Linked DNA regions of Anolis sagrei. The protein of the gene in region 1 interacts with the protein of each later gene in a pairwise test. Links are inferred from orthologs where the notes say so. Each region holds a gene or a part of one and is shown in the gene's direction. Other genes may lie near its edges.

Region 1 (7,621 bases):
TTGTTATATTTACTTTTCCTTCTTTCAAGCTTTTATTTATTTATTTATTTATTTGCTGCATTTGTTAACCGCCGTTCTCAGCCCTAGGGCGATTCACGGCGGTGTACAACATATAAAAGACAATTTACAATAAGCCATAAGGAAAAAAACCAACATATCACTAATACACAATCATCTAATTACACTAAAATAATCCGCTCCGTCTTATCGTAGAATCATAACCAATCTCGTAGTCCATATTCCGTTCCAGTTGTCATTACCAGTTAATATAGCACTCAGTTAAATGCTTTTGTCTAGAAGATGGGGGGAGGGGTTCCCTATTTGTCCGATTGGCTCTCAACCAAACCCATTTTTTGTCAAGATCTGTCTCAAAAGATTCTGAACACTGGTGATTTCTGCCTGTCTAGTGATTTCACCACCAGCAGCCTTTTTGTGACATGCTCTATAAAATGAAAGATCTAGCCTCTGGTGTTCAGGAAGAGATAGCGCTTGTATTCCTCAGGGATTGGGGCAACCGTCATAATCTTGTCATCTAACATAGACCAATCTGCCTTTCTGAAGTTGAATCGAACTTCCTGAGCTCTTACAGCTGGAAACAACTGGCATATGATCGGCCAATGCTGTGTGTTTAATGTTGGTGATCCCACTGATTGATGCACAATACTGTCGCTCACGAGCAGGTTTGGGTTATATCCTCAGTACCATCTCATACTGTTGTAGGATGATGGGAACTTATGATCATGAATAAGCAATAGTTTATGCAATTCAGCCCAGGAAAAAACAGCCTCTCCATTTTTATACTCCTGTGCATAGCCCCCTACAGCTATTAAAGTCACCAATTACTACCGCCCTTTGATGCCTATCAAAGTTCTCAGGAGAGGAGAAACAAAACTCTTCATTTGGGGGCTTATATAGAGAGGTAATTGTGATATTACTAAGCTCTACTGTTATAACCTCTCTATCAGGCATGGGCAAACTTAGGCCCTCCAGGTGTTTTGAACTTCAACTCCCATAATTCCTAACAGCCATAATTCCTGTCACTCCTTTCTACCTGCTACTAAGGAGGCTGTTCAGGTCCTGAACCGGTGCTTGGCCGCTGTTACGGTCCAAATGTCCAAATCTGTCACTGTTTTTGTAGAAGTCCAAAATGCCTGGAGGGCCAAAGTTTGCCCATACCTGCTCTACATTGTTTTCTCCAGTATTGTGGGCACTGCTGACTTTGAAGCTTAGTTTTACAAAGCCAGAACTTCCATACTGCACATGTGGTCTTTCCGCCACTAAGATCATTCCTGGAACTTTTGGTCATTTCTGTTGATTATCTCTGTGTGTTTCTTGGACACAAAAGAAATTTTGCAGCAAGAAAAAAAAATTACCAGCTGTTAGGATGTCTGGGAGTTGAAGGCCAAAACATCTGGGGACCCACAGGTTGAGAACCACTGATCTAACTGAGCCAAGATAAATGTGATGTTTCTTGGACACAAAACATCACATTTATCTTGGCTCAGTTCATAAAGCAACAGTTCATTGGTAGCTGACATGCTTTTGATGATAATTGAGATTATTGTCAAAGCTGGTCCTGAAAAGGTTTGCTTGTTTGTATACACCAGCCATTGTATACACAGTGTCATCTGTACGTGGATGATGTCCAACTCTGTCACTCCTTTTTACCTGCTACTAAGGAGGCTGTTCAGGTCCTGAACCAGTGCTTGGCCGCTGTTACGGTCCAAATGTCCAAATCTGTCACTCCTTCTCACCTGTCACCAAGGAGGCTGTCCAGACCTTGAACCGGTGCTTGGCCGCTGTGTCGGACTGGATGAGAGCTAATAAATTGAAACTGAATCCAGACAAGACAGAGGTACAACTGGTCAGTCACAAGGCCGAACAAGGCATAGGGTTACAGTCTGTGTTAGATGGGGTAACACTCCCCCTGAAGATGCAGGTTCGCAGCTTGGGAGTGATCCTGGACTCATTGCTGAGCCTGGAACCCCAGGTCTCAGCGGTGGCCGGGAGAGCCTCTGCACAATTAAAACTTGTGCCCCAGCTGCACCCGTACGTGGAGAAGTCTGATCTGGCCATAGTGGTCCACGTTCTTGTTACATCCCGAATAGATTACTGCAACGCACTCTATGTGGGGTTGCCTTTGAAGACTGTTCGGAAACTTCAGTTAGTCCAGCGGGCGGCAACCAGATTACTCACCAGAGCGTCATACAGAGAGCATACCACCCCTCTGCTATGTCAGCTCCACTGGCTGCCGATCCAGTTCCGAGCACAATTCAGAGTGCTGGTTTTGACCTACAAAACCCTATACGGCTCCGGTCTGGCGTACCTGTCCGAACGCATTTCCCTCTACGTCCCACCTCAGAATCTGAGATCATCTGGGGAGGCCCTGCTCTCGACCCCACCTCTATCACAAGTGAGGCTGGTGGGGACAAGGAGCAAGGCCTTCTCGGTCGTGGCCCCTCACCTGTGGAATTCGCTCCCGGGTGAGATCAGACCAGCAACATCCCTCCTCTCCTTTAGAAGGAAATTAAAAACGTGGTTATGGGACCAGGCCTTCGGGCAACCCGGCAGCTAAGGACAATGGACTACTAGAATTAACAGGACTGACAATGTGGAATTGAAACTATGGACTCTGAGACAGCGAACGCTGAATGCTAAACTGGTTTATTGACGTGTTGTAGAACTGAGAACCGACCGTTTAATTGTTTTTAACTTTAATTGCTGCTATACTGTTTTTATTGTTGTATTGTTTTGTATTGATGCCGGCATCGAATTGTGCCTTTGTAAGCCGCTCTGAGTCCCCCCCGGGGTGAGAAGGGCGGGGTAGAAGTGTCTGAAATAAAAAATAAATAAAACACCGGCTCTATATAGGCATTTAGCCTTGTGGGGGGTAAGTTCTTTCCAGTTAATTATTTTTTGAGTGGAGAACATAAATTGGACTGTTAGGTGTCTCGTGTCCAAATTTGGTGTCAATTCCCCCAGTGGTTTCTGAGTTCTGTGAATAGCACAAACGAACATTACATTTTTATTTATATAGATTATCAGATAGATAGATAGAAGATTGTTATTATTATTATTATTTGCCATTGAACGTTTGCCTTTTTATGTGTTGTAAGCCACCCTCTGGGGAGATAGGCAGAGAAGAACTAAAGTTTTAATTCATTTACTCCACAAGGATGATAAAAACATCAAATCATCCGGGTGTCTCCTGGGCAACGTCCTTGCAGAGGGCCAATTCTCTTGCACCAGAAGCGACTTGCAGTCACTCCTGACACATGCGCCTTTCACCTTAAGAACAGACAAGCATCCCAAGCTCTGAGGATTACCTGGGAAGGAATCCCACTGGAGCATTGCAACACACCCAAATACCTGGGAGTCACTCTGGACCGTGCTCTGACCTACAAGAAGCACTGCGTGAACATCAAACAAAAAGTAGAAACATTCGAAAGCTGACTGGCACAACCTGGGGATCACAACCAGACACAGTGAAGACATCTGTCCTTGCACTATGCTACTCTGCTGCTGAGTATGCATGCCCAGTGTGGAACACATCTCACCACACTAAAACAGTAGATGTGGCTTTTAATGAGACATGCTGCATTATCACAGGGTGTCTGCGCCCCACACCACTGGAGAAATTACACTGCTTAGCCGGTATTGCACCACCTGACATCCGCCGGGAAGTAGCAGCCAATAGTGAAAGGACCAAGGCAGAGACATCTCCAGCTCATCCCCTGTTTGGGTATCAGCCAGCACATCAACAACTTAAATCAAGACATAGTTTTCTTAGATCTACAGAGACACTCGCTGGAACACCCCAGCAAGCGAGAGTCCAAAAGAGGCAGGCCCAAACCCAGCACCTCAATCCGTGGGTGATACGAGATGAAAGACTCCCCCCTGGGCACTCAGAAGACTGGGCGACTTGGAAGGCGCTGAACAGACAGCGCTCTGGCACCATGAGATGCAGAGCCAACCTTCAGAAATGGGGCTACAAAGTGGAATCCTCGACATGCGAGTGCGGAGAAGAGCAAACCACAGACCACCTGCTACAATGCAACCTGAGCCCTGCCACATGCACAATGGAGGACCTTCTTACACCAGAAGCACTCCAAGTGGCCAGATACTAGTCAAAGGACATTTAACCAAATACCAAATTTGCAAAATCTGTGTTTTTTTTTCCTTTTTTTAAAATCTCTGTGTTTGTTTTGCTCTGTTAGAATTGTAATACAATGGTTCTTGATGACACGATAAATAAATAAACTCCTGACACGACAAACAAACAAACAAACTCATTCATTCATACTGCAAGTTGCTTCTAGTGTGAGAGAATCAGCCAGGCCACTTGCCCTGCGAGGCCCTCCCCCTGTCACCGTGGGGCGGGGCGTGGGCAGGGAAGGCGGCTTGCAATGGCGCGTCCTCGCTCTCCAGGGGCTTCAGGGCCGGCCTGGCCTCCCCATTAGAAGGGCCGAGAGGGAGAGACACGGAAGGGAGCGGCTTCCAAGGGCCTCTTTGAGGCGAGTGGCGCTGTCGGCCTGCTCCTCCACCCTTCCCTCCCTCCACAAGAGCAGCACTTCCGGGGTGAGAGAGGGCGGGACACCCCGGCTAGCTCTTCCTCTCCAGGCCGCAACATAACCATAGAGATAAGTAAACAAGCCGAGCGGAGCGGAGCTGAGGAACGTCACGCGCGCACCGGAAGCTGCGCCAAATGGCCGGCCCGGTGGCGCGTGCGCGCTGGGAGCGTGCGCAGCCGGCTTCGCCTGGCGAGGAGAGAGGGGCGCCTTTGCGCGCCGGGGCGGCGGCGGCGGAGGAGGAGGAGGGCCTTGGCGTCGTGGGCCTGGCCGTGGGGCCGGCCGCAAGCGCAGGTGACGGGGCTGGCAAGGCCGCGGCGGAAAGAGGCCTGGGCGTGGGTGTGGGCTGTGGGGCGGAATGGCGGCGGGAGGCCCGGGAGTTGGGGGCGGGGCAGCAAGGCCACGCCAGGCCACCAGGCAGCTGCTCCTCACCGTCCCGCCCACCCACCCACCTACCTACCCACCACCCGCTTTCAGGGCAAAATCTTCATCACTCAACTGTCATCCACCGGAGATGCCAGGCTCTGGGCCTCTTAGGGCACTTCCAGACAGGCCCTATATCCCAGGATCTGATCCCAGGTTTTCTGTTTATCCCAGATTATTTGGTAGTGCGGACTCAAATAGTCGAATTTAAAGCAGAAATCCTGGGATCAGATCCCGGGAGATTGGGCCTGTCTGGAAGGGCCCTGAGAGGCCATTCCACACAGCCATATAATCCAGAATATCAAGGCAGAAAACTCAATGTATTGTCAAAGGCTTTCATGGCCGGAATCACTGGGTTGTTGTAGGTTTTTTCGGGCTATATGGCCATGTTTTCGGGCTATATGGCCAACATACATTATATAGGCTGGGATCTTTAGTATTATTATAATTACTTATACAAATGAAATTATATAGTTCCCCCTCGAATGGATCCATGCTCTAGTGCAGTGTTTCTCAACCTGGGGGTCGGGACCCCTGGGTGGGTCGTGAGGGGGTTTCAGAGGGGTCGCCAAAGACCATGAGAAAACACATATTTCTCATGGTCTTAGGAACCCTTTTGGTAGAGAAGGCTGAAGATCTCTCCGCCTGTCCTCATCCTTTTTGGTGTTGGTGAATGAAAACTCCCAGAATTCAAAAACAGCCCCCCCCCCCCAATCCCACCAGTAGTTAATGTTGGCCATGTCAGTAGTGTGCCAAGTTTGGTGCAGATCCATTTTGGGCTGGGTTCAGAGTGCTATTTGATTGTAGGTTAACTATAAATCCCAGCAACTACAACTCCCAAATGTCAAGGTCTATTTTCCACAAACTCCACCAGTGTTTGCATTTGGGCATATTGTGTATTCGTGCCAAGTTCGGTCCAGATCCATCATTGCTTGAGTCCACCGTGCTCTCTGGATGTAGGTGAACTACAACTCCAAAACTCAAGATCAACGCCCAACAAATCCTTCCAGTACTTTCTCTTGGTCTTGGGAGTTCTGTGTGTCAAATTTGGCTCGATTCCTTTGTTGGTGGAGTTCAGAATGCTTTTTGATTATAGGTTAGCAACTACAACTCCCAAATGACAAAATGAATCCCCTCCAACCCCACCAGTATTCAAATTTGGTCATATGGGGTATTTGTGCCAAATTTGGTCCAGTGAATGAAAATACATCCTGCATATCAAATATTTACATTACAATTCGTAACAGTAGCAAAATTACAGTTACGAAGTACTAACAGAAATAATGTTATGGTTGGGGGTCACCAACACATGAGGAACTGTATTAAGGGGTCGCGGCATTAGGAAGGTTGAGAACCACTGGTCTAGAGGCATTCTCTCCTGACGTTTCGCCTGCATCTATGGCAAGCATCCTCAGAGGTAGTGAGGTCTGTTGGAGTTAGGAAAAAGGGTTTATATACCTGTTGAATGACCAGGACTCTTGTCTGCTGGAGCTAGGTGTGAATGTTTCAACTGATCACCTTGATTAGCATATGATGGCCTGGCAGTGCCTGGAGCCAACTTTTGTTGAGAGGTGATGAGATGTCCTTGTTTGTTTCCTCCCTGTTGTTGTGCTATCAGGCCATTATATGCTGTAAATGAATAAATAAATTAATAACTCTCACACATCTCTTTTGACAGGCCTACCCAGTCAACTTTAAACAATGAGTTTTGCATTTTCATTCTGTTACTGCTGTATTTTGATCTTTGTACCATGTGTTTTACTGTGAATATTTTATAATGGTGTGTTTTGATATAGCTGTTTTATTTATTATTTATTTATTTGCTTTGCTTATATACTGCTGTTCTCAGCCCAGGGGCGACTCACAGCGGTGTACAACATAAGAGGAACAAAATTCAAAACACAGTATCAAAACAATTCACACTTCAGCATTATACAAAAACATCATCATTACTACAGAAACCATTCCACGTCGTCTCATCGTCCAAATCATAAACCAGTATCATTTTCCGTTGTTCCATTCCTATAGTCATTACCAATCATTGCACTTCTTGTTCGAACGCCTTCTTGAACAACCAAGTCTTTAATTTCCTGCGGAATATCATCAGGGAAGGAGCCAGTCTGATGTCCACGGGAAGGGTGTTCCACAGCCAAGGAGCCACCACCGAGAAGGCCCTATCTCTCGTCCCCGCCAGCCATGCTTGTGAAGCAGGCGGGATCGAGAGCAGGGCCTCCCTGGAAGATCTCAAAGTCCTGGTGGGCTCGTAGGTCGAGATGCGGTCGGATAGGTATCTTGGGCCGGAACCGTTTAAGGCTTTATAGGCCAACGCTTGTTTTGTTGCATGCATTTTATGTGGATGTGTTTTGACTGTGCCCACCTCAAGCTGTTAGGAGAAGCAAGTAACAAATACAAATTATTATTATTATTATTATTATTATTAGTGCTATAATTAGTATTCTTATTAATAGTGTTTACCATTTTCCTACCATTGTCAGAGACACTTCAGGCAAAAGTCGCAAGTGGAGATTTACACATTTTAGGGCATTAGAGGCATTTGGTTAACAAGAAATTATGCTGCAGTAATTAATGTGATGAACCCTCAATCATAATTGCTGTTGCTTCAGAGACTA
Region 2 (8,008 bases), about 20 Mb from region 1:
GCTAGTTAGAGTGTCTCTTATTTTAAACATTCTGCTCCCTACTCCCCTTTGTGCCACTAAATTGCAATATCAAATCTAGATTGTGACCCCTAGTGGGTGTTTTTGAGAGATAATGAGAGGTAATGGAGCTTCCTACAGTTTCAAACCCTAATTTACTGAAAACATTTTTCCTACTGTATTGCCATAGAAATAGCAAACCCACAGTGGATTTTAACACTACTTCTATAACTATGAGAAATCAAATAGGGGTCTGCTGGCATTGAATCCTAGTTTGGAACCAGGATTGTTGCTGTTCAACTTGGGAGTGGTTGAAAGAGGAAAAAGCAAAAGCTAGAGTGAATGTACAACTCCAGTGTTTTGTTGTTGCTGTTAATGTTCTATTAAGATAGCTTCAATGTACTATAACCCTATGAATTATAACCCCCAAGATTAACCTGATTCCATCCCTGGGTCCATGGCTTCCCTGATTAAGTCAGTTCCTCTGTAATTTTCCTCCTTGTGACTTCAACTTTACTGAGCGTTACCATGTCATGCCATTTCATGGTATGTCCAAAGTACTTTATTTATTTATTTATTTACTATATTTGTATACCGTCCCTCTTTGCCCAGAGGTGACTCAAGGCAGTTTAGTCGGCAATCAATGCCCCACAAAATAAAATAGTCAAAAACATTACATATAATATAAACTATATAAAAGCAATACAGCAATTAAAACCATAAAGTACAAGTCCTCAGCATCTCATAATTAAAATAATTTTCCGTTGTATCGTCCAATCATTTCATGAGTCTCAATTAATCAGTTATACTGCGTCTGCAAATGCCTGGTCAAACAGCCAGGTTTTAATCCTCTTTTGAAATGTTAGGAGGGAGGGGGGCAATCTAATATCCCTAGGGAAAGTGTTCCATAGCAGAGGGGCCACTGCTGAGAAGGCCCTGTCTCTTGTTCCCACCAATCGGATCTGTGAAGAAGTCATACTGTCTTGTGGTAGTGAGAATTCAGCTTCGATTTGTTCTCAGGCCCATTTCTTTGTCTTTTTGGTTATATAGGCAGTCCCTGGGTTACAGACAAGATAGGTTCTGTAGGTCTGTATGTAAGTCGGAATAGATACATTTGTGAAGGGTAACACCAGGCAAATATATATATATAGCTTTGGATAACACAGGGAAGAGTTAACACCCCTGTAAACCTTGTTTTGCTGTCTGTGCCCCTGCTCAGATTTCACCTCACTTCTTGTCCCTGTGACCAATTTTGAAAAAAAATTACCTGTTGTGGAACCAAGAATTGGTGAGAAAGCTTCAATGACGACACCTTTTCCCCATTATAATAACTCTTCTAGGAGAGGTTTTCCCTTACGAGGGGTAGATTTCTCACTTCCTGTTGTCTCACCCGTTCTTTTTTTAAAAAATATTTTTATTAGCAATTTTTTAATAAATACAACAAGAATAAAAATAGAGGGGGGTTGGGTTATATAAAAAAGGGGGTAAATTGGGGAGGGGAGGGGGCAAGTAGGTCCGGGAAGGAGGAGGTTTGGGGGGGAGGGGGGGAGGGTTTGGGGGGGTTGACTTCCGACTCCGATTTCTCCGCGTTGTTTTCATTTCTTCTGGAAATATCTCTTTTGTGGCTTTTCCCTTGTGGTTCTTATTTTTCTCTTGTTTACTGTTCTACTCATATCTTTTTAAGAGATAGATTTTCTCTCATATATTCATTTAATGGGCTCCAGTCGGTTCTTTTGAGTGGGTGTCCGTATGAGTCTTATAACGCGTAGGTTAACGTGTCCATTTCTCTTATCTCTAGAACTTTCTCCATCCATTCTTCTTCTGTTGGTGTCTCTTTTGATTTCCATTTCCTTGCATAGACTATTCTCGCTGCCGTTGTAAGGAATGTGAGTAGTATGTCTTTATTTGCGCTCAGCTCCCATTCTTCTTTAAATATTCCAAGCAGGTAGCATTCTGCTCTTTCTTGGATCTTCAGCTTGAGAATCTCTTCGCATCTTTTGTTGATCTTCTTCCAGAAATTTTGTGCAATGGGGCAGGACCACCATTGATGGAAGAAAGTTCCAGTTTGTTTGTCGCATTTCCAGCACCTTTTACAGCTATGTTTGTACCCCCGTTCTTAACTAGGCGTCATTTGCAAGTCAGATGTTTGTAACTAGAGGACTGCCTGTACATCTTCATATAATAAAACTATTCCTGGGATTCATTTCAAATTTGTTAAAGAAAGAAAGGACAGTTTACAGTCTAAAGTCTGATGTACACACAACTTCTGAATGTTAACTATGGGGTGAGACATATTGTTTTCATAGCTGCATCAACTATTTGGGAAAATCATCTGACTGGCCAAAAAGGCTACTAAAAAGCCTGGATGAGATTGAATTTTAGTCAGGTTAGAGGAGGTGAGGCTCACATTCAGCCCAAAAAGAAAATAAAGCACTGAAACCTGCCAGAAAACTTTCCCAAGAGGTGGTTTGGGCTCTTCCACACAACTGTATAAAATCCACATGGAACTTGATTATATGGGTGTGGACTCAACCTAGCTGAAAGCAGATATTGTGGAGTAAGTGCATTAATATATTGAGATATATGGCTGTGTGGAAGCATCCTTAATATTTTCACGGGTCTTCTGAAACTTCAGCTGGTACAAAGAGTAGCAGCGAGGTTGCTAACTGGGGCTTGCTCCAGGGAGTGGACACCCCCTTTACAGCAGCTCCACTGGCTGCCAGTCTGTTTCTGGGCACAATTTAGTCCCACCTCCATCTCAAGCTCAGTTGGTTGGTAGGAACGAGAGAGAGAGCGCAAGCCTTCCACACAGCCATATAACCCAGCCTATCAAGGTAGACAACCCCACAGTATCAGATTTAAACTGGGATATATATTCCAGTTCAAAGCCGATAATGTGGGATTTTATACAGCTGTGTGGAAGGGGCCTCGGTGTCTGCCCCTGGTCTCTGGAACCCCCTTCTTCCCAGGGAAGCCAGAATGGCCCCCTCTTTGCTGTCCTTCCAGCGGCAGCAGACTGAAACCTTTCTATTCAGGCAGACTTTTAAAGAAGGAGTTTAAGATAAAGTCAGCAGGTTGCTGTGGTTTTTAAATTGGAGTATGTTTTGATGGATTTTAACTGATGTTTTAGTGCTGTTTGGGTTTTAATTTTTTATATTTTAAATGCCTTACTATTATAACTAGCTGTGCCCGCCATGTGTTGCTGTGGCCAACCTTCCCTCCCTCTTTCTCTCCTTTCTTTTTCTCTTTCCTTTCCTTCCTTCCTTCCCTTTTTTCTTTAATTTCATTTCTTTCCTTCTCCTCTTCCCTTCCTTCCCTTTTCTTTCCCTTTCTGTTTCTCCCCTTTCTTCCTTCTCTACCTATTCTTGGACTGCAACTCCCAGCAGTCCTTCTTATCAATCTATCTACCTACCTATTGCTATCTAATCTATCTATCTGTCTTATCTTTCTGGAGGATTGATGGGAGTCGCCATCCAGGAATAGGAAATTGAAAATATGCAGGGATTGGGATGCTCTCAAAGAAATCCAAGGAGAAGAAAGCTTGCAGCTTGGAAGCAGTGAATTTGGATCATCCTCCTCTCCTAAAGGGCCTGGTCTAGGGGATGCTGGGAGCTGTAGCCTGGAAGAGAGTGTGCTTTTGTGTGTAGTTTGCCAGGGGGAAGCTTTGTTTTTGCGCATGTGCTATCACTGTTTTTTTGTTGTTGCTTTTTTGGCCTTTAAAGTCCGTTCTGTTGTTTTTCAATGTTTTTAGAGGTGATGGTCATTCGTTGGCCTGAGCGGTGTATTGTGTCCAAATTTGGTGTCGATTTGTCCAGTAGTTTTTGAGTTATGTTAATCACAGAAATGAACATTAAATATTTTATTTATATAAACTAGCCATCTCCTGCCACGCATTGCTGTGGCCCAGTCTGTGTATATATGTGTGTGTGTGGTTTTGTGCATGTGTTGTAAGGGTGTTTTTTTTTTGCTTTTTAAGTCTCTTCCACTGTGTTTTTCAGTGTTTTTATGAGTGATGGTCACTCGTTGGCCTGAGAGGTGTATTGTGTCCAAATTTGATGTTAATTCGTCCAGTGGTTTTTGAGTTGTGTTAATCCCACAAACGAACATTACATTTTTATTTCTATAGACTAGCCATCCCCTGCCATGTGTTGCTGTGGCCCAGGCTGTGTATATGTGTTTTTATGTGGTTTTGTGCATGCGTTGTAAGGTGGGGGTGTTTTTTTTGGCTTTCTAAGTCTCTTCCACTGTGTTTTTCAGTGTTTTTATGAGTGATGGTCACTCCTTGGCCTGATAGGTGTATTGTGCCCAAATTTGGGGTCAATTTGTCCAGTGGTTTTTGAGTTATGTTAATCCCACAAACGAACATTACATTTTTACTTATATAGATTAGCCGTCCCCTGCCATGTGTTGCTGTGGCCCAGTCTGTGTATATGTGTTTTGTGTGTGTATATATTTGTGTATATGTGTATATATGTGGTTTTGCCCATGTGTTGTAATGTATTTTTATTTTTTGGCCTTTAAAATCCCTTCTGTTGTTTTTCAGTATTTTTATGAGTGATAGTCATTCGTTGGCCTGAGAGCTGTCGTGTCCAAATTTGGTGTCAATTCGCCCAGTGTTTTTTGAGTTATGTTAATCTCACAAACGAATATTACATTTTTATTTATATAGTAGATTAAATATAATAAGTAAATAAATAAATTCTTGTAATAATAATGATCGAGGCCGGAAGTGAGCAGAGAGGTGCATTTCATGGCTCCCACCTGGAGAAGCCTGGAGAAGGTGGCGAAAATCCTGTCCTTGCAAACCTGTTGTATAAACCAGAATCGAGCGCTGAGGAAGAGATGGACCTGCGGGAGCGATGGCCGGCCGCCATGCCTGTGGCGAAGATGGGGCGAGGGAAGGAGGGAGGGAGGCGGGGTTCCGGGAGGCGGCTCCCCTTCCTCCTCCCCCTCCCCTTCCTCGGCAGCGCCCCCTGCCGGCCGCCCAGCCAGTCAGTCAGTCCTCGCCAGGCCTCGTTGCCAGTTTAACTGCAGTCGCGACGGCGACGAAGGAGGCGCTCGGCGCTCCCGCCCTCCGCAACTCCCCCTCGGCCTCCCTCCCTCCCTCGTTCGCTCGCTCGCCCCAGCGCTGCCCCGCGAGTCCACTCCGCGCCGTGCGCACAGGGCCTAATTCCGGGCCCACACCCCGCTGCTGCTTCCACCTCCGACGACGCCGCCGCCACCACACGACGCCGCCGACATGGACATGAAGAAGCGCATCCACTTGGAGCTGCGGAACCGGACCCCGCCGGATGTAAGTCCGCCTCTGGGCGGGAAAGCGCCGCACTTTCTTTCCCTCACGAGCGGGGCCGGCTTTTAAGAATAGGAAAAAAAAGAGGGGCAAAGAGGGTCAAGCTGGGGGCTCGTGGCGGCGGGGAGGGGGGAAGGGAGGGCGCGTGGAGAGAGAGAGAGAGGCGGGAGAGAGAGCGCGGCTGAGGAGACGCTCCGCGGCCGCCATGTTGTTCAGCCGCTGCGTCTCTTACTGGAGGGCGCGTGGGCTTGCCTGCAGGGAGAGAGAGGGCGAGCGCGCGACACGGAGAGGCTGTTGGCGCCTCTCTTTCCTTGGAGCGCGCGCGCAGCCACCACCGCGTTCATTTCTTTCGTTTCTCGGCTCCCCACCCTTGGTTTTTTTTTTTAATTCCTTTCCCCCTTCTCTTAAACGGGCAACAGCTGCGCCAACGGGGCGGGCTCGCGCGTGCTTGCCTTCCTCGCCCTTCCCCCCCTCCCCCCTTTAAAAAAAGAGGCAGCTGCACAGAGAGAGAGAGAGAGAGCGAACGAGAGCGCGCGAGGAGGAAGCAAGCAATGTGCGCGTGCGAGCGAGCAAACGGGGTCGCGCGCCCTGGTTTCCGCCCTCCCCCCCTCCTCCTCAGAACGCTCGCCTTCCCGCCAAAAAACTTCTCCCTCACACAAACAAAAAAAAAATAGGGTGTAATTTAGACTCCCCCAAAACCCCCTTTGTGGTTTCAAGGAGAGCGCCTATTTAAAGAGACATACGATCTGCCCCTTCTTTGAAAAAGGGAATCGATTGAAAGCCGTAGAATTAAAGCACCCAAGTTGGGGGGGAGGGGGGAGCCGCAAGGAGGTCTCCTTCCTTGCCTGTGGAGAGGCCTCCTCGGCCTGGGGGCCCTGGCTCGGCTTCTGCGGGCGGCTCAGGGCCGTGGCATCCATCTTTAATGCGGTCTTCCTCTTCCCTGCTGCCTCGCACTCTCGCAGGCAGGGTAGGCTCTCCCAACGAGGCACATTTTCCCATGAGGCAACCCAAGTTTGACCGTCTCCTTTTGGTTATTCTGCCTTTCAGAAAGCATTGGCTCTCAGAACCCCCCCCCTTATTTTTTTGGGTAGCACCACATTTCAAATACATTACTTCTCCTCCAATCGTCACAGCCATCCATACAGTCAGCAGTACATAGAAACCACCTTTCTTAGCACATGTTCCTCATTTTATTTTATCTATATAAATAAAAATATAATGTTCGTTTGTGGGATTAACATAACTCAAAATCCACTGGGCGAATTTACACCAAATTTGGACACAAGACACTTATCAGGCCAACGAGTGACCACCACTCGTAAAAACACAGAAGAGACTCAAAAAGCCAAAAAACAAAATTTACAATACAACACATAAAGCCACACACACCTATATATATGCAAGCACACACACACACATAAACACACAAGACACATATACACAGCCTGGGCCACAGCAACGCATGGCAAGGGACGGCTAGTATATACATAAAAATATAATGTTCGTTTGTGGGGTTAACATAACTCAAAACCCACTGGGCGAATTTACACCAATTTGGACACCATGCACCTATCAGGCCGACAAGTGACCACCACTCGTAAAAACACTGAAAAACACAGAAGAGACTCAAAAAGCCAAAAAACAAAATTTACAATACAACACATGTACAAAGCCACACACACACATATACACACAAGACACATATACACAGCCTGGGCCACAGCAACGCATGGCAGGGAACGGCTAGTATATAAATAAAAATATAATGGTCGTTTGTGGGATTAACATAACCCAAAAACCACTGGACGAATTGACTCGAAATTTGGCAGCAAAACATAATAATCCAATTTATGTCTTTCAAACAAAGAACCTTTAAAAAACAAAGGGGAAATAACGTCAAACTCTCCAAAAAGAAAAATACCTTACAGCAAGCATACACAGACACACACACAAAACATATATACACAGACTGGGCCACAGCAACACATGGCAGGGGACAGCATGTTGTTAAAAGAATTCCCTTGCTTTGCACAGCAGGCGTGCCACTAAGTGAATTAAAGTGAAGCCATCTAACACTCATGGCTTTCACCCATGTGCCAAACAGTTTAATCTGCTTGATTCCTGCCCTTAAGAGAACGCATGGGAAGGGCCAAAGGGCCATGTGGAAGGGCCAAAGGTTTTTAAAGCCTGTGAAATTGAAAAATATTTGTAAGGGGTGAGGATGTCCAAAGGAGTGGAGAAATACGTTGGTACAAGAGTAATTTTAACCTGTTAAATTGCTCTTTTTTTCTTTAGTGAAACTGGGGGTCCCTTTTGGCAGATGTGGCACAGTGAATATTACTGATATTAGTGTTTATATCCCACTTTTTCTCCTTCAAATGAAACTAAGGGCCCTTCCACACAGCCCTATATCCCGGGATATCAAGGCAGAAAATCCCACATTATCTGAGTGTGGACTCAGATAACCCAGTTCTAAGCCAATATTGTGGGATTTTCTGCCTTGATATTCTGGGCTATAGGGCTGTGTGGAAGGGCCCTCAGGCCCACACTACCCTATATCCCAGGATCTCATCCCAGATTCTCTGCTTTAAAGTGGATTATATGAGTCCCCATTGCCAGATAACCTGGGATAAACAGATTATTTATTGATTTATTTGCTCTATTTGTGTCCTGCCTTTCTCTACCCCAAAGGGGACTCATGGTGGTTTTACATATGGCAGC
Region 3 (7,221 bases), on another chromosome or scaffold:
TAGAAGCTTTCTGATTGGCTCATACGCAGCTAATCACCTACCAACAAACGATTCCCCCAGGCAGTAAGAAGTCATGCCTTGAAAACTGCTAGGCCATTAAATGCTAATCAAGGTGGCCAATTGAAACATTCACACCTACGTCCAACAGACAAGTTCTTTCACCCACCCTGGACATCATTCCACAGAGATATAAACCCCATCTTCCTCGTTTCCAACAAACCTCACAACCTCATAACCATAATACAACAATATGATTTATTTATTTGTCGTGTCAGAACAACCAGTCTAACAGAACAAAGCAAACAAACAGAAAAATACACAACTTGTGAGTTTGGTAGCTGGTTAAATGTCCTTTGACCAGTTTCTGGCCCCTTGGAGTGCCTCTGGTGTTGCCGCAAGAAGGTCCTCCATTGTGCATGTGGCAGGGCTCAGGTTGCATTGCAGCAGGTGGTCAGTGGTTTGCTCCTCTCCACACTCGCATGTCGTGGATTCGACTTTGTAGCCCCATTTCTGAAGGTTGGCTCTGCATCTCATGGTGCCAGAGCGCAGTCTGTTCAGCGCCTTCCAGGTCGCCCAGTCTTCTGTGTGCCCAGGAGGGAGTCTCTCATTTGGTATCAGCAATTGGTTGAGGTGCTGGGTTTGAGCCTGCCACTTTTGGACTCTTGCTTGCTGAGGTGTTCCAGCGAGTGTCTCTGTAGATCTTAGAAAACTATGTCTAGATTTAAGTCGTTGACGTGCTGGCTGATACCCAAATAGGGGATGAGCTGGAGATGTCTCTGCCTTGGTCCTTTCACTATTGGCTGCCACTTCCCGGCGGATGTCAGGTGGTGCAATACTGGCTAAGCAGTGTAATTTCTCCAGTGGTGTGGGGCGCAGACACCCCGTGATAATGCGGCATGTCTCATTAAGAGCCACATCCACTGTTTTAGCGTGGTGAGATGTGCTCCACACTGGGCATGCATACTCAGCAGCAGAGTAGCATAGCGCAAGGGCAGATGTCTTCACTGTGTCTGGTTGTGAACCCCAGGTTGTGCCAGTCAGCTTTCGTATGATATTGTTTCTAGCACCCACCTTTTGCTTGATGTTCAGGCAGTGCTTCTTGTAGGTCAGAGCACGGTCCAGAGTGACTCCTCCCATGTATTTGGGTGCGCTGCAATGCTCCAGTGGGATTCCTTCCCAGGTAATAATCCTCAGAGCTCGGGATGCTTGTCTGTTCTTGAGATGAAGGGCACATGTCTGTGTTTTAGATGGATTAGGGATCAGCTGGTTTTCCCTGAAATAGGCAGTAAGAGCACCTAGAGCTTCGGAGAGCTTCTGTTCTACCATCTCAAAGCTGTGTTGAGGCCTCGGCCTTTGTAAGCCGCATCGAGTCATGCGGGAGATGCTAGCGGGGTACAAATAAAGTTAATAATAATAATAATAATAATAATAATTTTCCTCGTTTCCAACAAACCTCACAACCTCATAACCATAATACAACAATATGATATAATAATGTAATAATAATATTATATTATAATAGAAATATTATATAATATATTATTATATGATATAATATTGCATACTAATATAATAATTGTTAATATTATATAATTTATCATAATTCTATATACAATTATTATAATATAGTATAATAATTTAAAAATAATAATATTACATATATATATAGTATAATAATATCATACTATAGTAATTATAACCATAATGTAATAATATAATATAGTATAATAATGTTAATATAATACATATTATTATATAGTGATATAATATAATATTGTATAATACTATAATAATTATTAATATTATATAATTTATTATAATTCTATATATAATTATTATAATATAGTATAATAATTTAAAAATAATAATGTCACATATATAAAGTATAATAATATCATACTATAGTAATTATAGCCATAATGTAATAATATAATATAGTATAATAATGTTAATATAATAATATAATATATATTATTATATGATATAATATAATATTGTATAATAATGTAATAATTGTTAATATTATATACTTTATTATAATTCTATAATTATTATAATATAGTATAATAATGTTAATATAATAATATAATATATATTATTATATAGTGATATAATATAATATTGTATAATAATATAATAATTGTTAATATTTTATAATTTATTATAACTCTATATATAATTATTATATGTATATTGATTTAATAATAATAATGTCATATATATAAAGTATAATATCATACTATAGTAATTATAACCATAATGTAATAATATAATATAGTATAATAATGTTAATATAATAATATAATATATATATTATATAGTGATGTAATATCATATTGTATAATAATATAATTGTTAATATTATATAATTTATTATAATTCTATATATAATTATTATAATATAGTATAATAATTTAAAAATAATAATGTCACATATATAAAGTGTAATAATATCATACTATAGTAATTATAATCATAATGTAATAATATAATAATATAGTATATTAATGTAGTAATGAGGATGCCTGCAGTACTATTTTTTTCCCTTTTTGGCCCAAGCGGGATTCGAACTCGCGACCTCCTGATTCATTTGCAACACCAGGCTTAGGCCCTAACTCCCGCCAGCCTCGTGGATGGAAGAAAACGTGGGCCAATCAAATGCCTCCTTATTTCCCTCTGCGGCGCTACTTTATTTCACCGTCCAATGGTAGCCCGAGCTTCCACTGACGTCACTTATCTCTATGGGACTCGTGGCAGAAAAGTCCCTCAGGAAGCGGGCCATGTGGCAGCGAGGAGGGAAAGTCCTGAAAGCAATTGAGCTTCACCAATCACAGCGTTAGATTCCCCTAGATCCCGCCTTCCAAAATGGACGCGGTATGCTCCCGCCTACTAAGGCCTAAGTATCAAATCAGCGCGCGGGACACCTTGAAAGACAGAGGACGTGAAGGCTGTGTCTGGCTAATGACGGTTGATGGACGCGGCTGTTGACCAATTGGCGTCCATTAGGCGCTAGCTAGAGGAGGGAACCAATCACAGCGGTGCAGCCAATCAAAGCGGTAGATATTTGACAGACGCGGCTCTTGCCCAATCGGCGGAGTGAAGGACTGCTTTGGCGGCCATTAGACGCCGTGATAGATAGAGGAGGAACCAATCACAGCGGTGCAGCCAATCAGAGCGGTGCAGATTTGATAAACGCGGCTCTTGCCCAATCGGCGGAGAGGAGGACTGCTTTGGCGGCCATTAGACGCTGTGATAGATAGAGGCGGGACCAATCACAGCGGTGCAGCCAATCACAGCGGTGTACATTTGATAGACGTGGCTCTTGCCCAATCGGTTGAGTGAAGGACTGCTTTGGCGGCCATTAGACGCCTTGATAGATAGAGGAGGAACCAATCACAGCGGTAGAGATTTGATAGACGTGGCTCTTGACCAATCGGTGGAGTGAAGGATGTCTTTGGCGGCTATTAGACGCTGTGTTAGATAGAGGCGGAACCAATCACAGCAATGCAGCCAATCAAAGCGGTAGAGATTTGATAGACGCGGCTGTTGCCCAATCGGCGGAGTGGAGGACGGCTTTGGCGGCCATTAGACGCCGTGATAGATAGAGGCGGAACCAATCACAGCGGTGCAGCCAATCAAAGCGGTAGAGATTTGATAGACGCGGCTGTTGCCCAATCGGCGGAGTGGAGGCGTGCTTTGGCGGCCATTAGGCGGGCAGGGCTACCTTGAGAGATAGAGGAGGAAACCAATCAGAGTGGTGGAGGTTTGATAGACGCGGCTCTTGCCCAATCGGAGTGAAGGACTGTATTGGCGGCCATTAGACGCCTTGTTAGTTAGAGGAGGAACCAATCACAGCCGTGCAGCCAATGACAGCGGAAGAGATTTGATAGACGTGGCTCTTGCCCAATCGGCGGAGTGAAGAACGGCTCAGGCGGCCATTAGGCGCGCAAAAGTACCTTGATAGATAGAGGAGGGAACCAATCTCAGCGGTGCAGCCAATCACAGCGGTGCGAACTTGATAGACGCGGCTCTTGCCCAATCGGTGGAGTGAAGGATGTCTTTGGCGACCATTAGGCGCACAAAAGTACCTTGATAGATAGAGGAGGGACCCAATCTCAGCGGTGCAGCCAATCAAAGCTTTAGAGATTTGACAGACTCGGTTCTTGCCCAATCGGCGCAGTGACGGACGGCTGCCTCAGCCAATCGGCGCGCGCGGTCTTTGTGAGGCGAGCCTTTGGCGTGGAAGCTTCGCGAACGGGCCTGGGACGCCATTAAGCGCCGTCGATGGCGACCGGAGCGAACGCGACGCCTCTGGGGAAGCTCCATCCGCCGCCGCCGCCGCCTCCTCCGCCGGGGAAAGCCGGCTACCCGCTCCCTCCGCCGGGCCTCGTGATGCAGGGGCCTCCTCCTCCTCCGCCGCCCGCGCAGGCCCAGCCCCAGCCGGCCATCCCCAGCCTCATGGCGGCCGCCGCGGCCTTCCCTTTCGCCGCGCTCCCGCCGCCGCCTCCTCCGCCGCCTCCACCACCTCCTCCTCCGCCTCAGCAACCCCAGCCTCCGCCTCAGCAACCTCCACCTCCTCCGCCGCCTCAGCAAGGGCAGCAGGCGCCTCAGCAGGCCCAGTACGCCCAGTACCGCTTCCCCTCGCCTCCCCCGCCGCCTCAGGCCGCGCTAGGCCTCGAGCAGCAGCAACAGCAGGCTCAGGCCGTGGCGGCCCAGCAGCACCTCCACCTCCACCTCCAGCAGCAGCAGGACGAGGGCGGCCAGGCCGGGAGCCAAGGCAAGTCCGCCTATCTCGCGCTCAGCCCAAGTATGTACCGTGGCTGCTTTGCCTTCCTCTGGGTAGGCCGGGCAAGGGACACCCCGCTTGGGTTGGACTCCTCGCAGCCTCAGGCCCCTTCCTTAAGCAACTGAGGGGAGAAAAGAAGGGGCCTGAGGACAATTGGCACACAAGAATTTATTTATTTACTTCATTTACTTTGTTTGTATACAGCTCTTCTCAGCCCTTCGGCGACTCAGAGCGGTTAACAACAAACAACAGCAAAAATTCAAGGCTAGCATCATACAAACCATTTAAAAACAATTAACACAATGGGTTGTTGTAGGCTTTTTCGGGCTGTATGGCCATGGTCTAGAGCAGTGGTTCTCAACCTGGGGTCCCCAGATGTTTTTGGCCTACAACTCCCAGAAATCCCAGTCAGTTTACCAGCTGTTAGGATTTCTGGGAGTTGTAGGCCAAAAACATCTCAGGACCCCAGGTTGAGAACCACTGGTCTAGAGGCATTCTCTCCTGACGTTTCGCCTGCATCTCTGTATATATATATATATATATATATATATATATATACATATCTATATCTAGAATGACTGGGGTGGGGCAAAGGACTCTTCTCTGCTGGAGCTAGGTGTGAATGTATTGTTATTATTATTATTATTATTTGATGCACTTATTGACCGCCATTCTCAGCCCATAAGGGCGACTCATGGCGGTGTACAGTACACATAAAAGACAATTACAAAAAGCCAGTTTCGACAACATATAGACTATACAACAACTACAAACTACACTAAAAATCCGCTTCGTCTCTTAGTGGAATCATAGCCAGTCTCATTCCAGTTCCGTTCCAGTTCTCATAACCGTATTATTAGCACTTAATTAAATGCCCTCTCGAAAAGCCATGTCTTAAGGCTTTTTCGAAAGGACATGAGGGAAGGCGCCTGTCTGATGTGTGCAGGGAGAGTGTTCCACAGCCGGGGGGCCACCACCGAGAAGGCCCTCTCCCTCGTCCCCGCCAGCCGTGCCTGTGAGGCAGGCGGGACCGAGAGAAGGGCCTCCCCAGACGATCTCAAGGTCCTCGTGGGCTCGTAGGCTTTCATGGCCTCCACCTCCAGCAGCAGCAGCAGGACGAGGGCGGGCAGGCCGGGAGCCAAGGCAAGTCCGCCTATCTCGCGCTCAGCCCAAGTATGTACCGTGGCTGCTTTGCCTTCCTCTGGGTAGGCCGGGCAGGGGACACCCCGCTTGGGTTGGATTCCTAACAGCCTCAGGACCCTTCCTTAAGCAGGTGAGGGGGAAAGGAAGGGGCCTCAGGCCAGTGGGCCCACAATAATAATAATAATAATAATAATAATAATAATAATAACTTTTTTATCGTGTCATCAGCAGCCATACCATTGTGTTACAATTCTAACGGAACAAAACAAACACACAGATTAAAAAGAAAAAAAACACACACAGATTTTGCAAATTTGGTATTCGGTTAAATGTCCTTTGACCAGTATCTGGCCCCTTGGAGTGCCTCTGGGGTTGCCGCAAGAAGGTCCTCCATTGTGCATGTGGCAGGGCTCAGGGTGCATTGCAGCAGGTGGTCAGTGGTTTGCTCTTCTCCACACTCACATGCCGAGGATTCCACCCTGTAGTCCCATTTCTTGAGGTTGGCTCTGCATCTCGTGGTGCCAGAGCGCAGTCTGTTCAGCACCTTCCAAGTCGCCCCGTCTTCTGTGTGCCCAGGGGGGAGTCTCTCATCTGGTATCACCCACGGATTGAGGTGCTGGGTTTGAGCCTTTCACTTTTGGACTCTTGCTTGCTGAGGTGTTCCAGCCAGTGTCTCTGTAGATCTTAGAAAACTATTTCTAGATTTAAGTTCTTGACGTGCTGGCTGATACCCAAACAGAGGATGAGCTGGAGATGCCCCTGCCTTGGTCCTTTCACTATTGGCTGCTACTTCCCGGCGGATGTCAGGTTAATGTAATACAAAATAATAATAACAGAATAAAACAATGGAAATGTAATAATAGAGTAAAATAATGGAAATGTAATAATAACAATAAATAGAGTAAAATAATAGTAAGTAAGCTTTATTATGGTTGATGACCAGATCATAATGTAATAAAATAATAGAGTAAAATAATGTAAATGCAATAATACTAATAATAATAATAGAGTAAAATAATAAATCTAATAATAGTAGAGTAAAAGAATAAATGTAATAACAATAATAAATAGAGAAAAATAATAAATGTAATAAAATAATAATAGAGTAAAATAATGTGAATGTAATAATAGAGTAAGATAATAAATGTAATAAAAATAATACTAATAACAGAGTAAAATAATAAATAACTTTGATTCTAGTATAAGCCGAGGGGAGCTTTTTCAGCCTAAAAAAGGGACTGCAAAACTAGGCTTATACTCGAGTATATACAGTTAGTTGTCTGGGTTTTTGA
Region 4 (7,508 bases), on another chromosome or scaffold:
TTGAGGAGACGGGTCAGGGTCTGGTTGGGGGTCTTGAATGACTGGTGTGTCACTCGTGGCCTCCAAATCAATTGTATCTGTTTCAATTTGGTGAGGCATAGCCGGTTCTAAATTGAAAACCTGCGGATCCATGTCTCCCTGGGGGTCTGGGGGCCGAGAGAGTGTAGCTGAAGGGGGTTCACGGGGGGGTTGGGGAAGGTTTGGGTCAGAGTAATGAGGAGGGTGCATCCCCTTGAATGAGTCAGGGGGGGGGTGGGTAGTAGAAAGGATAAGCCGGGAAGGGAGGAGGGGGAGGGTACATATAATAAGGGTATTCCTGGTACCCATAAGGCTGCTGGTGGGAAGGAGGCACTGTGCGTGTCCTTTTGGGAGGGGGAAGAGAAGGAGTTGTAGTTTGGCGTGGATCCGGGGATGGAGAGCGGCGGCGGCGCCCGCTGGGGTGCGCAGAGGCGCTGGGCCGAGCCGAGGAAGGTGACTCCTCTGGTTCCGGGGATTGGGGAGGGCTGAGTGAAGGAGGAGGTGAGTTCTGAGAGGGTGGGAGAGGCGGGGGGGAGAGGGAAGCGTCCGGAGGAGGCTGCGGTTCCAGCTCCATATGTGGAGCCAGGAGCTCGAGAGGAGGGAGATGGGAGGGGTCTTCCATGTGGAGGAGAGAGGGGAGCGGTTCCTGGAGCTGCACAGTGGAACCGGGGAGAAAGGGCACAGACTGCAATACAGGGGGACTCAAGGGCTGTGTGCCAGTGAGTTGCCGTCCCTTTTTTTGTTTGTTTGATTTCTCTTTTGTTTTTGAAGACCTCGTGGTCTGCTTAGCTGATTTTGCTTTCTTTTTCTGCGGCTCCACAGTGGGAGAGCCCGCTTGTTCTCCATCCCGCCTATCCCCAACGCGTGGGGAGGGAGGCTGGGAGGTATTTTGAACGGGGGAGGATTGGGAGGGAGCGGGAGGAGCTTGCGGGGCCAGGGCCCGCTCATACAAAAGAGCTTTTAATCTGGCGTCTCTGCCTTTGCGAGCTCTGGAGGTGAAGCTCAGGCAAATCTCACAAGTCTGGAGATTGTGGGTCTCTCCCAGACATAGGAGGCATTTAGAGTGTTTGTCTGCCTCAGGGAGGTTAGTCCCGCAGGAGGAACAATTTTTAAAACAGAGGGAAGACATCTAGCCTGATAGAATAGTCGTCAGCCGGTCCGTGGTCGGGGGAAGGAGAGGTCTGGTAGTCGAAGAGAGTCCTGGTCAAAAGCCAATAGAGTCCGAAAAGAAGAAGGAGAAGTCCTGACGATGCTGCCTGTTTGGCGCGGAAAAAGGAACTACCTCTGGGACGCCTGCGGGGGCTGATATACCGGGGGGGCGGAGAGTGGGCGGGGCCTGTCTTTATTCTCTAAAATAATCATTTAAAAATTCATTAAAATTCTAGAAGTTCCGGATTGCTGCGCATGCGCACAGGAGAACCCATAGGTGTGCATTTCACGGAAGACACGAAGAAAAAATTAAATATTAAAATCAAATTTGGTCTGGCAGCTCATTTTTCCATTTTGTATTTTTGATCTGAGTCTAAAATTGGAATAATGAAAAACATGGCCTTGTTTTGATAACCTATTTATTTTCCCTATTTATACCCTGCCTTTCTCAACCCCAAAGAGGACTCAAGCGGCTTTAAATATAGGCAACTATTCAATGCCTTAAAACAGGGGTCCCCAAACTTTTTAAACAGAGGGCCAGGTCAAAGTCCCTCAAACTGTTGGAGGGCCGGATTATAATTTGAAAAAAAGCATGAACTCCTATGCACGCTGAACATATCTTATTTGTAGTGTAAAAAACACTTTAAAACAATGCAATAATTAAAATGAGGAACAATGTTAACAAATATAAACTTATTTGTATTTCAATGGGAAATGTGGGCTTGCTTTTGGCTGATGAGATAGGATTGTTGTTGTTGTTGTCATGTACTTCAAGTCATTTCAGACTTAGGTTGACCGTGAGCGAGGGCCGAGTAAATGACCTCGGAGGTCCGCATTCGGCCCCTGGGCCTTAGTTTGAGGACCCCTGGCCTTAAAACAACATACAATTCAAATGAACAATTAAATTAAAAATTAAAATTAATGCCAGTAAAACGTTTAAAACATTACATTCACTATTAAAATCCTATTCAAAACCAAATAACATATTCGTGTTTTTTGATGGTCAATTGAAAAATGAAAGAACGAGTAATACATGGATTCACATGGCTCTGAATGTTTAGTACTTCTGAGTAAGATATCTCTGTTATTTTCCTGTTCACGTGTTTTGAATTTACAGTGAGCATTGAATAGCCAATATGTAATGTTTTCTGTTTATCCCAGGTTATCTGGCAATGTGGACTCATATAATACAGATTAAAGCAGAAAACCTGGGATCAAATCCTGGGATATAGGGCCTGCCGGGAAGAGCCCTAGGATATCAGTGCTCACCAATGCTTCCTCTTCATCCTGAAAAGAAGTGATGAGCGGAGTGCCGCATGGTTCCATCCTGGGCCCGGTCCTGTTCAACATCTTTATAAATGACTTAGATGAAGGGTGAGAAGGCATGACCATCAAGTTTGCAGATGACACCAAATTGGGAGGATCGCCAATATTCCAGAAGACAGGAGCAGAATTCAAAACTATCTTAATAGATTAGAGAGATAGGCCAAAACTAACAAAATGAAGTTCAACAGTGACAAACGCAAGATATCTCACTTAGGCAGAAAAAATGAAATACAAAGATACAGAATGGGGGACAATGCCTGGCTCAAGAGCAGTACATGCGAAAAAGATCTTGGGGTCCTCATGGACAAGTTAAACATGAGCCAACGATGTGATGCGGTAGCAAAAAAAAGCCAATGGGAGTATAGCGTCTAGATCAGGGTTCCTCAAACTAAGTACCAGTCCTCACTCAGGGCCAACCTAAGTCTGAAATGAAAGCACACCACAACAACAGCAATCCTATCTCATCAGCCAAAAGCAGGCCCACACTTCCCATTGAAATACTAATAAGTTGATATTTGTTAAAATTGTTCTTCATTTTAATTATTGTATTGCTTTTAAGTGTTTTTGCACTACAAATAAATATGTGCAGTGTGCATAGGAATTCATTTTTTTTTCCAAATTATGATCCGGCCCTCCAACAGATTGAGGGACTGTCACCTGGCCTTCTGTTTAAAAAGTATGATGACCCCTGATGTAGATCCAGGGAAGACATGCTACCCCTCTATTCTGCCTTGTTCATACCACACCTGGAATAGTGTCCAATTCTGGGCACATCTAATCACCTCTCAACAAAAGATTGCCCCAGGCACTGCCAGGCCATCAAATGCTAATCAAGGTGGTCAGTTGAAACATTCACACCTAGCTCCAGCAGACAAGAGTTCCTTGTCCCACTCTGGTCTTTCCACATATATATAAATCCATTTTTCTTGTTCCAACAGACCTCACTACCTCTGAGGACGCTTGCCACAGATCCAGGTGAAACGTCAGGAGAAAATGCCTCTAGAACAGTGGTTCTCAACCTTCCTAATGCCGCGACCACTTGATACAGTTCCTCATGTTGTGGTGAGCCCCAACCGTAAAATTATTTTCATTGTTCATAAATGTAATTTTGCTACTGTTATGAATCGTAATGTAAATATCCGATATGCAGGATGTATTTTCATTCACTGGACCAAATTTGGCACAAATACCCAATATGCCCAAATTTGAATAATAGTGGGGTTGTGGGGAGGGATTGGTTTTATCATTTCAGAGTTGTACTTGCTGGGATTTATAGTTCATCTACAATCAAAGAACATTCTGATCTCCACCAATGATGGAACTGAACCAATCTTGGCACACAGGACTCACTTGGCACACAGAAAACACTAGCAGGGTTTGGTGGGCATGGATCTTGAGTTTGGGAGTTGTAGTTCATCTGCATCTGTGGACTCAAACAATGATGGATCAGGACCAAATTTGGCACAAATACTCAATATGCCCAAATGTGAACACTAGTGGAGTTTGGGGGAAATAGACCTTGGCATTTGGGAGTTGTAGTTGCTGGGGTCTATAGTTCACCTACAATCAAAGAGCATTCTGAACCCCACCAACAATAGAATTGGACCTAACTTTTCACACGTAACCCAGATGACCAAGAGAAAATACTGTGTTTTCTGATGGTCTTCGGTGACCCCTCTGACACCCTCTCACGACCCCCCCAGGGGTCCCGACCCCCAGGTTGAGAAACACTGCTCTAGAACATGTCCATACAGCCCGAAAAACCTACAACAACCCAGCGATTCTCTCATTCTCTGCGTGTGGCAGAAAGCTCTCTCTTCCATTTTGCCCAATGTTACGATTCCCTCTCAGCCCGATGGCAGAGTGAACTGTAAGGCCAGGGCCCTCAAGAGCAAGGCTGCACTTAGCATTCGAGAGGAGAGAAGCGCGGCCTGTTCCAGAACCTTCGGGCCCCGGTCGCGTGGCAACGGCTCCCCCTCCCCTCGCGTTAAGCCCCGCCCCCCTCGGCCTCTCCTTCTCCTGGGCCCGCGCCTCGCGAGCTCGCCCCTTAAGGCATGTCTTTTCCTTGGACTCCTGTGCGCAACGGCTAACGCGTAAACTCATTCGGGGGGCGGGGAGAACAGGACAAATGCCTCGTTAAGAACTCAAAAGTGAGGCAGAAGGGGAAGGAGACTCCCCTCCCCTTTCCTCCGGCTTCCCGGCAAGAAACCGCTGAGCGGGAAAGGCAAAGGGGTCGCGAGCGAAGGAGGGCGAATGACGAGCCGCGCTCAGAAGCCCCGCCCCCTGAGGAAGCGCGAGAGCGGAAGTGGCGGGGCTGTGGAGCTGCGCGCGAACGGCGCGTCCTCCCCAAGTCTCGGCGCGAGACGCAGCCGGCACCTGTGAGGTAACACTACTCGGCGCGCGGGGAAGGGAAGCGGAAAGGACGGGGCGCTTCTCCTGGTGAGAGAGGCCTTCGCCAAGGAAGGGAGGGGGGAGGAAGGGAGGGGGAAGGAGGAGGAGGAGGGCCCGGCCTTCCTCTGGCGCCTTGAGGGCGGGAGGGGGGAGAGGCTTGGGCTGCGGAGGAAGCGGGGGTTCCTAGACCGGCTGCCTTAGCGAGTGGGCCGCTGCCTCCTTCCTGTTGTCCCAAGAGGAAGGAGCCAACCCTTGGCGCGCGGGGCCTCGCTGTGGCTCCGCCTCCTGGGAAGAGGGTGAGGACAGAGGCCCGGCGAGGAAGGAGGGAGGGAGCAAAGGCGGGCAGGGACCTCATCACACTAGAGTAGGTATGGGCAAACTTGGGCCCTCCGGGTGTTTTGGGCTTCAACTCCCACAATTCCTAACAGCCTACTACAGCTCCCAGAAGCCCCCAGCCTGCAGGCTGGGGGCTTCTGGGAGCTGTAGTAGGCTGTTAGGAATTGTGGGAGTTGAAGCCCAAAACACCCGGAGGGCCCAAGTTTGCCCATGGATCCACTTCGAATCCAGTTTCTCCCTCCTGCAAAATCCTGGAGTTTGTAGGTTAGGGCATCCTTTCAACTGGTCAGCCAAGGTCCTGGGCCTCCCTAAATTACAAACCCCAGAATTTTGCAGGAGGCAGAGACTGGATTTAAAGAGGATCCATGCTCTAGTCCAGGGGTCCTCAAACTTTTTTTAATTATATATATTAGTTTAATACATACACAACATTTATAGTTCCCACCACCACATATTAATCCTCTTTGAGATGAACCTTATAGATAACATTTGTCTCCTATTTCTTTCTTTTTTTCTTAATTTTTTTTATTTAATTATTTGACACAATCTCATATATAATCAAAAAATATACGTTCAGAAATACTGGAACATGTCTAAATCTGTATGTAGACAGCAACTTGTACAAAGTAAGTATAGCATATACTCGAGTTTAAGACACTTTCAAAGGGAAATCCATGCAAACTATTCCTAACTAGAACTGTGTCTATCTAGCTAAGAGCAATAGTGTCATCAGCTACTCCCACCCCCATATCATATGCAAAAGGTAAATGCCAATGTATTTGGGGGGGGGGGGGGGGAATTCCTTACAAGGCAAGAAAAAAATGAATGAATTTCTAGACACACTGCACATATCTTATTTGTAGTGCAAAAAAAAAAAAAACCACTTAAAAACAATACAAACATTAAAATGAAGAAAATTTTCAACAAATATAAGCTTATTAGTATTTCAATGGGAAGTGTGGGCCTGCATTTGGCTGATGAGATAGGATTTTCGAAGGCTTTCATGGCCAGAATTGCTGGGTTGTTGTAGGGTTTTTTGGGCTATATGGCCATGTTCTAGGTTCTCAAACTAAGGCCCGGGGCCGGATACGGCCCTCCAAGGTCATTTACTCAGCCCTCACTCAGGGTCAGCCTAAGTCTGAAATGACTTGAAAGCAAACAACAACAACAGTCCTATCTCATGAGCCAAAAGCAGGCCCACACTTTCCATTGAAATGCTATTAAGTTTATGTTTGTTGAAATTGTTCTTCATTTTAATTATTGTATTGTTTTAAAGTGTTTTTGCACTACAAATAAAATAATGTGCAGTGTGCATAGGAATTCATTCATGTTTTTTTCAAATTATAATCCGACCCCCCCCAACAGTTTGAGGGACTGTGACCTGGCCCTCTGTTTAAAAAGTTTGAGGAACCCTGCCTAAAACTGTTGGAGGGTCGGATTATAATTTGAAAAAAAGCATGAATGAATTCCTATGCACACTGCACGTATCTTATTTGTAGTGTAAAAAACACTTTAAAACAATACAATAATTAAAATGAAGAACAGTTTTAATAAAAATAAACTTACTAGTATTTCAATGGGAAGTGTGGGCTTGCTTTTGGCTGATGAGATAGGATTGTTGTGGTGTGCTTTCAAGTCGTTTCAGACTTAGGTTGACCCTGAGTGAGGGCCGGGTAATAATAATAATAATAATAATAATAAACAAATTTAATACCCCACCACCATCTCCCCAATGGGGACGCGGGGCGGCTTACATGAGGCCAAGCCCAACAGCATATTACAATAAAGTAAAACCAAAACACAATAACAACAAAGTAAAATACATACATCATATGAGTACAAAGACAATAAAGCAAAATAATACACAGTAAAATAAAATAACCTAAAAATGAGCGGGCTGTATGTGCAAGATCAAAACTAAGATACTAAAAATACTAAAATCAGGATGAGTTAGGGATGGAGCAGATTGTTTGTGGGGGAGAATGATCTTGGAGGGCCGCATCTGGCCCCCAGGCCTTAGTTTGACCCCTGCTCTAGTCTGATGAGGCACAAAGACGTGGTTTTCTTGTGCCTGGCAGGCGGCTGTTGCCTCTGTCTGCCACCTCCACTGGTGGCGTCCCAGTTCCATGCCATTGCCCTGCAACTATTATTATTTATTATTTATTTATTTACAACGTTTATATGCCACCCTTCTCACCCAAAGGGGACTCAGAGCGGCTTACAAGATATATATATATATACATACAGTATATTATATTATTAGCATAGTGCAATATCAGTATTACATA

The links.
Region 2: the proteins of KPNA1 (region 1) and ANP32B interact in binary tests that used the Homo sapiens proteins (3 or more experiments, as listed by UniProt). The link is inferred for Anolis sagrei from reciprocal best matches to the Homo sapiens genes KPNA1 and ANP32B.
Region 3: the proteins of KPNA1 (region 1) and SF1 interact in binary tests that used the Homo sapiens proteins (3 or more experiments, as listed by UniProt). The link is inferred for Anolis sagrei from reciprocal best matches to the Homo sapiens genes KPNA1 and SF1.
Region 4: the proteins of KPNA1 (region 1) and NUP50 interact in binary tests that used the Homo sapiens proteins (3 or more experiments, as listed by UniProt). The two-hybrid records come from large-scale screens. The link is inferred for Anolis sagrei from reciprocal best matches to the Homo sapiens genes KPNA1 and NUP50.

Annotation. Positions count from the first base shown.
Region 1 is NC_090022.1:170,434,130-170,441,750, reverse strand, and holds the start of KPNA1 (importin subunit alpha-5), read left to right. Parts: upstream 1-4,612; 5' UTR 4,613-4,705; coding exon 4,706-4,862; intron 4,863-7,621. UniProt on the Homo sapiens protein: Functions in nuclear protein import as an adapter protein for nuclear receptor KPNB1. Binds specifically and directly to substrates containing either a simple or bipartite NLS motif.
Region 2 is NC_090022.1:150,822,994-150,831,001, reverse strand, and holds the start of ANP32B (acidic leucine-rich nuclear phosphoprotein 32 family member B), read left to right. Parts: upstream 1-4,991; 5' UTR 4,992-5,236; coding exon 5,237-5,290; intron 5,291-8,008. UniProt on the Homo sapiens protein: Multifunctional protein that is involved in the regulation of many processes including cell proliferation, apoptosis, cell cycle progression or transcription.
Region 3 is NC_090032.1:19,640,131-19,647,351, reverse strand, and holds the start of SF1 (splicing factor 1), read left to right. Parts: upstream 1-4,215; 5' UTR 4,216-4,284; coding exon 4,285-4,777; intron 4,778-5,882; exon of another isoform or gene 5,883-5,959; intron 5,960-7,221. UniProt on the Homo sapiens protein: Necessary for the ATP-dependent first step of spliceosome assembly. Binds to the intron branch point sequence (BPS) 5'-UACUAAC-3' of the pre-mRNA. May act as transcription repressor.
Region 4 is NC_090025.1:100,037,018-100,044,525, forward strand, and holds the start of NUP50 (nuclear pore complex protein Nup50), read left to right. Parts: upstream 1-4,494; 5' UTR 4,495-4,932; intron 4,933-5,085; exon of another isoform or gene 5,086-5,180; intron 5,181-7,508. UniProt on the Homo sapiens protein: Component of the nuclear pore complex that has a direct role in nuclear protein import. Actively displaces NLSs from importin-alpha, and facilitates disassembly of the importin-alpha:beta-cargo complex and importin recycling.